Canis lupus familiaris: one gene and its partner. The protein of the gene in region 2 interacts with the protein of the main gene of each other region in a pairwise test. Links are inferred from orthologs where the notes say so. Each region holds a gene or a part of one and is shown on either strand. Other genes may lie near its edges.

The links. The genes of interacting proteins can lie anywhere in the genome.
Region 1: the proteins of SWSAP1 (region 2) and ZSWIM7 interact in binary tests that used the Homo sapiens proteins (3 or more experiments, as listed by UniProt). The link is inferred for Canis lupus familiaris from reciprocal best matches to the Homo sapiens genes SWSAP1 and ZSWIM7.

The regions. Positions count from the first base shown.
Region 1 is NC_049226.1:40,091,934-40,097,964, reverse strand, and holds part of ZSWIM7 (zinc finger SWIM domain-containing protein 7), read right to left. Parts: intron 4,153-6,031; coding exon 4,050-4,152; intron 1-4,049. UniProt on the Homo sapiens protein: Involved in early stages of the homologous recombination repair (HRR) pathway of double-stranded DNA breaks arising during DNA replication or induced by DNA-damaging agents. Required for meiotic progression, hence for fertility.
Region 2 is NC_049241.1:50,348,086-50,353,984, forward strand, and holds SWSAP1 (ATPase SWSAP1), read right to left. Parts: upstream 3,091-5,899; 5' UTR 3,045-3,090; coding exon 2,796-3,044; intron 2,177-2,795; coding exon 1,679-2,176; 3' UTR 1,472-1,678; downstream 1-1,471. UniProt on the Homo sapiens protein: ATPase which is preferentially stimulated by single-stranded DNA and is involved in homologous recombination repair (HRR). Has a DNA-binding activity which is independent of its ATPase activity.

The DNA of each region.
Region 1 (6,031 bases), on a different chromosome or scaffold from region 2:
ATTTAAGCAGGCATAAGCCTGTGGAATTCTACACGGACTCTAATGGTTCCTGGTTCCTTCTTTTTTGTGGATCCCCAGCCCATGAGAATATTCTGGACTTTGAATAAATGCCAGGTGACTTAGGGAGGGGGAGAGTCTGCAGAGACTCCCTCGCCTGATCCTTTCAGGGGCTGGCTATGACTAAAAAGTACTATGTTCAATGGCCTGAAGCAGTAAAATACTGTCAGGAGATAGTAAATTTTGGATTTGTTTCTTCCTTATCTAGCATCAGATGAGTAATGAACCGAGTAATCAGGCAAAAATCTGAGTTAGAAAAGATTAGAATTGGAAATTGACTGCAGGGATCATCTAATTCAGTGGCTTCAGCCTTCAATGGAAAAAATGACCTCCTCTTACAGGAACTGCCCCCACTCTGCCCACTCACAGTCTGCAATGTTTATCCTCAGAAGGAGACAACTTTTTTAAAAAAAGATTTTATTTGCGAGAGAGCGCGCAAGCATGAGTGGGGAGGGAGGGCGCAGAAGGAAAGGGAGAAGCAGGCTCCCTGCTGAGCAGGGAGTCTGATACAGGGCTCAATCTCAGGACCCTGGGATGATGACCTGAGCTGAAGGCAGACAGTTAGCCAACTGAGCCTCCCAGGCACCCCAAGGAGAGAACTTTTTAAACAGAAAAATCTGGGAAATAGGAAATGGAGACCCATATAGACTTGCATGAGCCTCACTTGGAGGAAGTCTGCTGTAGTTCTGGTTGGGTTTTAAGGAGCATGACCCACCTAGATGGTCATCCACTCTCAACTACAGTTTTATTTTATGGCTGCTGCCAGCCTCTTAGGAGCCATTAGAATGCTCAACTGTATTATTTATTGTTCCCTGTGTTTGGTGCCTCTCTCTGAAAGAAGATTATAGATTCCTGCTCTATTAAATACCGGCTGGCTATGTGACCTGCTTTAGCCAGGAAAATGTGAGTAGCCAAGCAGAAACATTACAAATTGGCACAGACCACATCCTCTTTTCTCTCTGCTATGAGATCCACGATATTCTGGAGAAGGGCTGCTACACCAACTGGGATCCCTAAGTGGAGATGTTTTGGAGTAGAGCAGCAGTCCACTCTGAATGGGTATGAATGAAGCATGAATGAGACATACAACTTTGTTTCTGTAAGCCTTTGGCATTTGGGGGTCATTGTTGCCACAGCCTAACGTAGCCTCCTCCTGACTGATGCATCCCTCTTCCTAGGTAAACCAAAAAAGTTTACAGAAAAGCAACTCAGGTGACAACAACACAGTGGTGACTTTGGAATAATTACCATTGTGCCTGGAAGGCAGTAAGATTAGAAGGCTGACCTGTGGAAAGATGACTAATGGAGTATCAAAACAGTGTCTGAGGGATCCTTGGGTGGCGCAGCGGTTTAGCGCCTGCCTTTGGCCCAGGGCGGGATCCTGGAGACCCGGGATTGAATCCCACGTCGGGCTCCCGGTGCATGGAGCCTGCTTCTCCCTCTGCCTATGTCTCTGCCTCTCTCTCACTGTGTGCCTATCATAAATAAATACAAATAAAAAAAAAATAAAGTTGTTAGACTATTACAACTTAAAAAAAAAACAAAACAGTGTCTGACTCAACTTTTATCATCTCAGAGAACCTGTGACTTAAGCCAGATTCAGACTATATTAGTATACAATGAGACCATTAGGGCGTATATAAGATTTCTATAGCCTCATTTAATTCAAAGTCCAAACTGAAAGCTACAGTACTAGGAAGTTTGCACTTTTATGACAAATAAAGCAATGTAATATAATACAGGATGGGAATGATGAAAGTTAAACAAATCATGGCAATCTTGGGAGAAATAAAAAGTCAACAATTAAAATATGTCAAACAAAATCTTTAAGATTTTAACTAATGACTAGATCTTAGAACTAGAGAGCAGTTAGAAGTCTGTGCAGGTCAAGTGTTATGCTAATAGTGGAATGGAGACAAATCAGAAACCAAGAGATGTGGGAAAAACTCAAGGCCCTTCTTGTTCTGGGTATTTTAACTACATAAAAAAACCAAGATAAAAACTATGAGAAGTAAAATGGAAACACCTCATCAGGTGTAGTATCACTTAATAGCTGATTATTACATTTAAAAAAAATATTCATGAGAGAGAGAATGTGCGTGTGCACGCTTGCACAAGCAGGGGGAGAGTGAGAGGGAGAAGCAGGAAGGGAGAAGCAGGATCCACGCCCAACAGGGAGCCCAATGGGCTCGATCTAAGGACTCCCAATATCACGACCTGAGCCGATGGCAGCAACTTAACTGACTGAGCCACCCAGGCACCCCAATAGCTCTGATTACTAATCTCTAAATTCATCCTGACAAAATTCTAATAGGTAGTCTTTTTTTTTTTTTTAAAGATTTATTTATTTATTCATGATAGACAGAGAGAGAGAGAGAGAGGCAGAGACACAGGAGGAGGGAGAAGCAGGCTCCATGCAGGGAGCCCGACGTGGGACTCGATCCCGGGACTCCAGGATCAGGCCCTGGGCCAAAGGCAGGCACTAAACCGCCGAGCCACCCAGGGATCCCCAGGTAGTCTTTTTTTAAGTAAACATACAATCCAAAGGTTTTGACTCCAGCACTCAACATTAATTACCTCATTTTCTTTAATGAAGAAATGCATGAAGATTTGCCAGACTGGTTAAGTCATGCTACGCTGAGGAATGGCAAGTTAATTCACTAAGCAAAGGGACCGATTTGCCCAAGTTGGCTTTGCCTGCTTCATTCACTTGCTAAGAATTAATTGACTTGAGAGGCACATAAGTGGCTCAGTGGGTTAGGCATCAGATTCTTGGTTTTGGCTCAGGTCCTGATCTTGTTGTGGTCTTGAGACTGAGCCCCGCACTGGGCGCCCCATCAGTGCAGTCTGCTTCAGATTGTTTCTTGTTCTGCCCCTCCCCACTTGCACACTCTCTAATAAATACATAAAATCTTTAAAAAAATTTGACATGGTCTCAGCTCTGAGTTCGTCATAAATAAACCAGAATCCAAACACTGAAAAGCTTCCCCCTTCCTGATCTTCAGCAAGACCTACATTATATACTAGAGCTGATGGCTTCTTTATTCCTTCCAAGTGGGAATGAGATGGGAATGAGATGGGAGTATGGCCCAGTGTTTATATACAAATGGAGGCAGTTACAAATCCCAGCTGCCAGATATGACTATTAATTTACTTTTCTGCATCTCCATTTCCTGCAAGATAAACACCTTGTTGGGCTTTTTGTGGGAATTAGCAACAACGCATGGAAATCTTTCAGAGTCTGATAAGAGACTATTACTTTACAGATCTATGTATCTTAAATTCTAGAGGGCAAAACTGAGGTCCAAGTGGACTATCTGCATTCAGCATAGTTTGACCCTTAATAAATACTTCCTGACAACAGTTTAGAAAGATCACTGATAGATGATCTGAGCATGCAGGAGGACCTCAAAATGCATTCTGGCTTTTGCTTGTAGACAAAAGACAATGAACAAGGTAAAACTGTCAATACAGTTTTTTTTGTTGTTGTTTTTTTTTTTTTGTTTTTTTTTTGGTAAAGATGCCTGTTATCAAACACAGGGAAGCAAAAGTCAACTGTCTCCATGAGACTTGAGAAAACAGCCTCTCCACATCATTGCTGGTTCTATACATTGCTACTAGGTAGGGTTAATAGGTCTTATTTATCTTTTTTTTTTTTTTTTTTTTTTTAAGATTTAAGAGTGGGGGGGAGAGAGAGAATACAAGCAGTGGGCGGGGCAGAGGGATAGAGAATCTCAAGCAGACTCTGTGCTCAGTGCAGAGTAACATGGGGCTGGATCTCAAGACTGAGGTCTCAAGACCTGACCCAAAACCAAGAGTTAACCAACCGTGCCATTCAGGTGCCCCCAGTCTTATTTATCTTATTTTAATTACTAATACACTAATTTTACTAAGTTGGGTCATTGCTTTTCAGTAGGAACTACTGGGATCCATGAAAACATTTTGTGCTAAGGGGTTTCTGGTTGAGATAATCCCCACCTCTAGATTTCTACCTGGTAAACACGCCTCCCACTGGGCGATGAGATTAAGGTGATGGACTGTCGGTCCACGAGGTCCAAGGCCTGGATGGCTGATGGGCCGAAGATGAACTTCAGTCTGGGAAACAGAAAGGCTTCAGATAAGACTATCTTATCTACTCTCTCAGGTCACCTCAGGAACTTAACCCAAAGGATCACCATTGGCATTTTTTTAAAAATTGATTTTAATTTGGAAAAAAAAGAATATAGCAAGAACCTACATAATCAATCCCCTAGAATGTTAACATGTTTACAGATAAAGCCATCTTTACATTTCATAATACTCCTTGTTCTTCCCAACCTCCTTTCATCCCCAAGGCAACGATATGCATTTGTTGGTTTTCTTCCTATTAATGCTTTTTTATTTTATTATATGAAGCATACTGAATACATATACATAGCACACATGCATACACACACCTATGTGTATATACACATGCATGGTGCTGTTTCATGAGTTTTAGAACATAAAAGATAAATTGTAGGCTTTTTTGTCAACTTGGGTTTTTTTCTGTTCAATGTGCTTTTGAAAATGATGCATGTTGATATATTTTTTTAATTTAATTTTTTTTTTAATTTTTATTTATTTATGATAGTCACAGAGAGATTGAGAGAGAGGCAGAGACACAGGCAGAGGGAGAAGCAGGCTCCATGCACCGGAAGCCCGACGTGGGATTCGATCCCGGGTCTCCGGGATCGCGCCCTGGGCCAAAGGCAGGCGCCAAACCGCTGCGCCACCCAGGGATCCCTTAATTTAATTTTTGAATAACATTCCACTGTATGTTTGTAAGTACCCTGCTGGGCATTCTGATTGTTTCTATTTTACATTATAAATAATACTCAATTATCCCCATACATGTCCTTTAATGCACACATATGAGAATTCTTCCTGGTTATAGAAGTAGAATTGCTGAGCCTTAGGATATATACATTTTTCAACTTTAACAGGCGTTGCCAATAGCTTTCCACAGTGGAAACAGCAGTCCCACCAGCACTGTATAGGAGCTCTATTTTCCCCCCATGCTAACCACTACCAATATTATCAGTTTCTCATGTTGACCACCTGATGGGTATTAATTTGTACTTTTTGTATTAGTAATAAAGGCTACCCACTTTTAAATGATAGATCAGAAAAAAACTGGTATGTGGGAAAATTTTTACAATAGGTGAGAAAGGATGGGCACAAAATAAAACATTTAATTTAAAAAAGAAGGCAATAAACCAAACTCTTCAGTTATTAGCACTGGGTGGTATGATTGTTGATGCTTTTCATGTTTTATTTTTCAAGAACACTTTTTTTTTTTTTTTTTAACAAGGAAGAGTCATTTTTATAAACTGGAGAATAAAATGGGTGAGTTGAACTGAAACAGAAAAGTTAAATGTTTTAAAGAACTCATGTGATCTGACATAAAACATGAAGACAGAGCTACTATCTTCAAAATTAAAATGTTCAACTTCTTCATTTTCCAACAAACTAGTCTCTTGATACAAAAACCTATTAGAGGGCAGCCCAGGTGGCTTAGCGGTTTAGCACCGCCTTCGGCCCATGGCCTAATCCTGGAGACCTGGGATCGAGTCCTGCATTGGGCTTCCTGCATGGAGCCTGCTCCTCTCTCTCTCTGTCTCTCTCTCTGTCTCTCATGAATAAATACATAAATAAATCTTAAAAAAAAAAAAAAAGCTATTAGAATGGGAAGTTTCAAAAATTTTTTTTTATCAAATATAACATTATCTCTGGACAAAGAAAAATAAAATTTGGTCATAACTTTGTCAATTAATCACAGGTTGGGCACCTGGGTTGCTCAGTGGTTGAGCATCTGCCTTGGCTCAGGGCGTGATCCTGGGGTCCTGGGAGAAAGTCCTGCATCAGGCTCCCCGCAGGGAGCCTGCTTCTCCCTCTGCCTATGTCTCTGTGTGTCTCTCATGAATAAATAAAATCTTTAAAAAATTAATCATAG
Region 2 (5,899 bases):
AAAGGCTCAGAAGCATCCTCCTGCTCATCTGGTTTGTCCCTGAAGCCTGGGCCAGAGGGGGCCTTGGGCGCCAGCTTTGAGTATACCATCCTGGATCCCAGCTCCCAGCTCTTGTGCCCAAGGGCACTGCCCCCTGAGCTGCCCCCCACCCCACCCCACATAAAGTACCTGTACCTCATGGTGTCTGACTCTGGCATCTCAACTGACTACAGCTCAGGGGGCTCCCAGGGAGCCCAGGGGGACTCACTGAACAGCCCCTTCTTAAACCCTTATGAGAACAACCTCATCCCAGCCCCTGAGCCTTCACCCCCCGGCTACGTGGCCTGTTCCTAGGACTCCAGTCTTCAGATGCTTGGAGACTCAGCATGACCTCAAGTACTAGTCCAGGCCTAAGACTTATGGAGCAGGGTTGGTGAGGCCTCCCTCAGGACTAGGGACATGGCTAACCCTGGCTTTTGCCCAGCCCATCCTGCTCAGTACATCCTTGCAGTATTTTGAAATGTATAGAGTTGTGTGTGTGTGTGTATGTGTGTGTATTTTTTGTTCCTATCATGACTTCTACAAACACCCTGTAAGCCCCATCCTTCCCTGGACCCAGGCCATAGGGGCAGCAGTAAAAGGTCTCAAGCTCAGTCTGAAATTCTGGACCTGACCACCTCAATAACAATCATAATAAAATGAATTAGTCAGTATATGTTATACTAGGTGCCATAACAAAAAACTCCTAAATGTGACTGCTTAACACATCAAATGCTTTCTCTCTCATATTTCAATGCAAACAAGTGGGCAGCCATCTCTGGGATGAGTCAGCAGCCCAGACTCTCTTGGTCTATAACTTCACCATCCCCCGGGGCCACCTTAAATGGATTCTCTGCATCTTGCCAACCAATAAGCAAAACAAATCGCAGAAGATTTGGTGGGCCATTTTAGGGACTTAGCCTAAGAAGTAGTATCTATTTCTTTTTTACAAATGCCACTGGCCAGAAATAGTCACAGGACCCCAGCTAGAACCATGGACAGCAGGGGAAAAAATGCAGTTTAGCAGTACAGCCCAGGAGAGGAAAGTCGTTGAATGAGCCTCTAGCTAGTCTCTGCCACTACGAATAACAATAATTTGTAAGGCTTTATTCTGAATCAGGCCCTGTTCTAAGAAAGTACTCTGATGGGACCAATGTCATCAGGTGGCTTCACTGGCAGTTCTGGTTTAACCACTTTTTAAAAGTTTGACATAACCAAGGAAAGATGAACACATGCAGAACTTCTCTCCCAATTCCACTTCTAGGTGTATACCCTAAAACCCCTCATACACACGAACCAGGGCATGTGTGCAAGAAAAAGTGAGAAGCCTGACCTGGGGCTCGATCCCAGGACCCAGAGATCATGACCTGACCTGAAGTCAGATGCTTCACCCACTGAACCACCCAGGTGCCCCTGAACTAATCGTAATAATAATGCTGAGTGGGAGAAGAAGTCTTAGAAGATTACATTTATCACGAAACATTTTATAAAGTTCAAAACAGCAAAACAATATGTTGATTGGGCATGATAGGTACATGGTAATGCTCTGTTTCAAGAGAAAAAGCACTGTTCTTTAGGTCTTTGAATCTGTACAAGTCCCTGAAGTAAGTATTCCAGCCATGGGCAGTTGAGGCACAAAGAGGGTGTCACACATCAAAGCTCAAGGCTGGCCTCCAGAACTTGAACCTTTGTCTGAGTTGGGGTTACCAGACTGGGTAGGCCATGGGGTGATTGTCATCTCTCCATCTGGTCGGAAAGCCACCCACCACTCTGCTCTAGGGCTCAGCCCACCTGAATCCAGGCAGGCTCGGAGGCCGCGCTGTCCTGGGCCTGGTGCATCCACCTGCAGCCAGCACTGGGCAGGGAAGTACCGCTGGAGCAGCGACAGCTGCAGGCCATCCCCACTCTCTTCCTCTTCCTGGATCTGGAGGGCCACAATGAGCCCACAGCCCTGGCCAGGCCCAGTCCGGTGGCTGAAGTGGGCAGCTGTGTCTAGAAGCAGGGCAGCCAAGTAGGCCGCTTCTTGAGAGTCTTCCACTAGGTACTCCTCCAGGCCATCCAGCAGCAGGAGGGAGGGGGCTGGGCCCAGGGCCTCATGGGCAGAGCACAGAAGCTGAAGGAGTTCATGGGTTGAGGGTGGGTACTGGAAGCGTATCTTCTAAAGTGAGTTAAAAGAGAAAACACTAGGTTCAGCTCAGGAAGCCAGGCTCCCAGCTCCAGCTGCCCCGCTTCCCTGTATTTCCTGTGCTCGGCGCTCACACCCCACCCGGGTAGCTGGTTCCAGAGTGAAGCAGCTCAGAATTGGTGGAATACTCTTCCCTTCATCCCGTCCCCCTTTTTGGGACGCTTTCCCGACCTTTTTTAATTTTCTAAAAAATATTTTATCCATTTATTTATGAGAGAGAGAGCGAGAGAGGCAGAGACACAGGCAGAGGGAGAAGCAAGCTCCATGCGGGGAGCCCGATGCGGGACCCGATCCCGCGACTCCGGGATCACCCCCCGAGCCACAGGCAGACGCTCAACGGCTGAGCCACCCAGGCGTCCCGCTTTAATTTTTTTTTTTTTTTTTTTTTTTTTTTGATGGTTTCCCAGTCTCAACAACGCCTGCTCTGGTCCCGCCCCCGCCCTCCCGTCCCGGCTCCTTCCTGACTCCGCCCCACAATGGCCGCCCCGCCTCGCTCTCCCGTCGTCCCTTCCATTGGTCTGTCTGACTGTCACTCAAGCCTTGATCCGCTCAGGTGCGAACTAGGCCGCCTCCGGTCCCACCCCTCGGTTACCTGTAGCCGCAGGGGGTCGAGCGCCGCTCCGGTCCCGCGAGGCAGGCTTTGGAGAGGCCTCCGGGTCAGGAAGAGGACGGGGCCTCGGCCCTCTCCTGCCGCTTCCAGGGCCGCCGCGAATAGCAGCGCGGTCTTTCCGGAGCCTGGGCCGCCGAGCAGCAGTAAAGGCGGCCCGGCCTCCGCTGTGTACTCCTCCCCGGACTCTGCCGAGCTGCCCTGGTTTAGCACCCGCCTCAGCGTCTCCGCCATTCGCAACGTGCCTCTGTCCGATCAACGGCCCGCCCCCGCCCTTAGTCCCGCCCAACCCGGGGTCTCATTGGTTACAATGCACTTAGCTTCTCCATTGGCTCATGGATCTGCCATCAAAGTTAGATTGGCCTGGACTAGCTTCTCCCCTCGTGAAGGGGCAAATAACAGTCCGAGGGAGGAGGAATGTTGGCATTTGAGGGAGAAAAGACCCTTCCCTTGCGCAAGTCGGCCGAGGGAGGCAGCACGACTATCATTATTGTGAACTAGTCAGCTAATCAAACAAATATAAGTGTTGGGAGTTGAAGGAAACAGGCCCTAATCAGTAACACATTACTTAAAGTCTCCTAGGCTCAGTCTGCTCATCTGTGAAATGGAGCTCCTGACATCTCAGAGGAATATTGTGATGAATGGGTCTGTGTGTGTTTCTGCTGATGTCACCTAATGACAATTGGGAAGGTGAATAATGGAGGAGCTTGTGTGCTTCCTTTTCTGCACCTTAGTATTGGCACAAGCTTGTGTTGGAGGCTGCAGGCTCAGGAACATCCTCGTGCAAAACAGCAGCAGCCACCTCTGAGGGTCTGTGAGAAGAGGAGTCTCAGCTGGCTTTCTCTTTGGCCTGGGAGCTGCTTGGGTTTTACCTGGGGCAAGGGGGTCGGGCATGACCATCAACCAAAGAAAGTGCAGGTAGACAGTCACACAGGGTGGGAGATTGAGGGACAGCCAAGGCAGAGATCTTGTCTTGTTCACTTAAGTGTTTCCATCGCCCAGAACAGCGACTAGATCGTTGTAAATTTTCAATATATGCTTGTTAAACGAATGAATGAAGAAAGGAAGTAGGACTGATGAGAAACTGGGAAAGGAGGAGGAACAAGATGAGTGGTTAAGTGATGGCTGGCTAGGTCTCCTCACCCAGACTTCGCCCTAGAGCTGCCACTCAGCCCGGTTGCTTTGGCAACTCTGTCTCCTGGTAACTTCAAAGTGGTGCTGTTGCCAGGAGACCCAGGGGCGGCGGAACTGATATTTCCTGGGCTTTCTCTCTCCCTCTGGGGCCAGAAAACAGATCTACAACATCCCCCAATACACCCACCCACACAGCCAGGCACCTCCACAGCCCTCTACACACATGCACGCGTGCTTGTGTGCACGCGCGCGCACACACACACACACCATGGCATCTCTGCATATATTCTACTTTCAGAACCCCCATCACCCACATGCTGACAGCCCTATCCTACCTTGACACAAAGCATCCCATATCCACTTCCTCCCACATTTACATCCCCACATCCTTTCCCTTGCACACAGATTAGGACACACTCTGATACAACCAAACAATTGCTATTACACACACACACACACACACACACACTTCCTTTCAGCTAATGTGCCTGCAACTCTTTCGATACACACATACACAAAGCACACTGTTACATTTCTTGTGAAACACACCACCTCAATCCCCCCACCAAGAGATGCACAACCCATGTTTCACCTCAACTTGCAACACTCCAAATGCACAAGCACCCAGTAGTGACACTAGTATCACATAGTCGTGCAGTTACATACATGGGAGCATGCCCAACACAGCCCCACTAGACTCGATATTCCTTTACTGGGAGCACTCAGCTCCTAAATTTCCCTGTGGCTCATTTTCCAACTCCATTCAGGTCTTGGTCAAATATCACCTACTCAGAGAGGCTTTCCCTAATCACTCGTGTAAAATTGCATGCCCTACACATTTTAACTGCTTATCTATATTTCTTTCCAAATTACTTGTCATTTCCAACGTTATGTTCTTATTGCCTCTCTCCTCACTAGAATGTCAGCTCCACCAGGGAGGTTCTTTCTTTTGTTCATTGCTGGGCCCCTAGCCCCTGGAACAGCATTTAGCACACAGCAAGTGCGCATAAATGTAGACTGAGTACATGGGCAGAGATGCAGATGTTTGGCATATTTCTTGTACACATAGTACTCCTCTCACTTCTCAGAAGCCTGTCTTCATGTCCTGATAGAAGGACCCTTACCGTAGAGAAGGTCCCAGGAGGAGGGAGGATCAAAGTGTGAAGGGACAGGGGAGTAGACAGCTCAGAGGTAGTCTCTGTTTCTCCCTTGTTTTTCATCATCAAGTGATTAAGTAATTCATTTCATAAAATTTTATTTAATTCATTTCATTTCTTTCCTGTGTGCCAGGCCCTGTTCTAGGCACTAGGGCTTCAGAAGTGAAAAGACAATTAAGTCTCTGTCCTCGTGGAGTGGACATCCTAGTGAGGGAGAAGATAATGACCACTAAACATAATGAGTTTAAATAGCCTGTGAGTGAATGACAAGTGTATGCAAAAAAAAAAAAAAAATTGCACAGGGGAGAAAAAGTTGGAAGGACCAGTTGTTTGGTTTTTGCAATCTGAAATAGGGTGGTAGGGGCAGGCCTGAGAAGGTGACACTTGAGAAAAGGCTTGAAGGAGCTGAGGGAGCAAACCATGTAGATGTGTGAGGGAAGAGAATTGCAAGTGGTGGCACCTTTATGTGCAAAGGCCCTGAGGCACCGGGAGAACTTTGGCTTTTACCAGGATGCATGGTGGGTAAGCCACAAGAGGGTTTGAGAAGAGAAGGGTTGTGGTCTGACTTACATTATAAGCCAGAACTCAGTTTTTTGTTGAGTTCAGTTAGATTCTGTGAGGCCTACAGGGGCACATCAAGAGGTCTTTTGAATAAGCACATATACCTTAGTCTAGGTTTTCTGCCTAAAATTATCCCGGGGTTCCTGGGATGAGGGTGTGGACTAGGTGAGGCGGGCCATCACCACCCTCTCTACAGGCCCTAACGTTTCTTGTGTCTGGCAACCCCTACTTTATTTA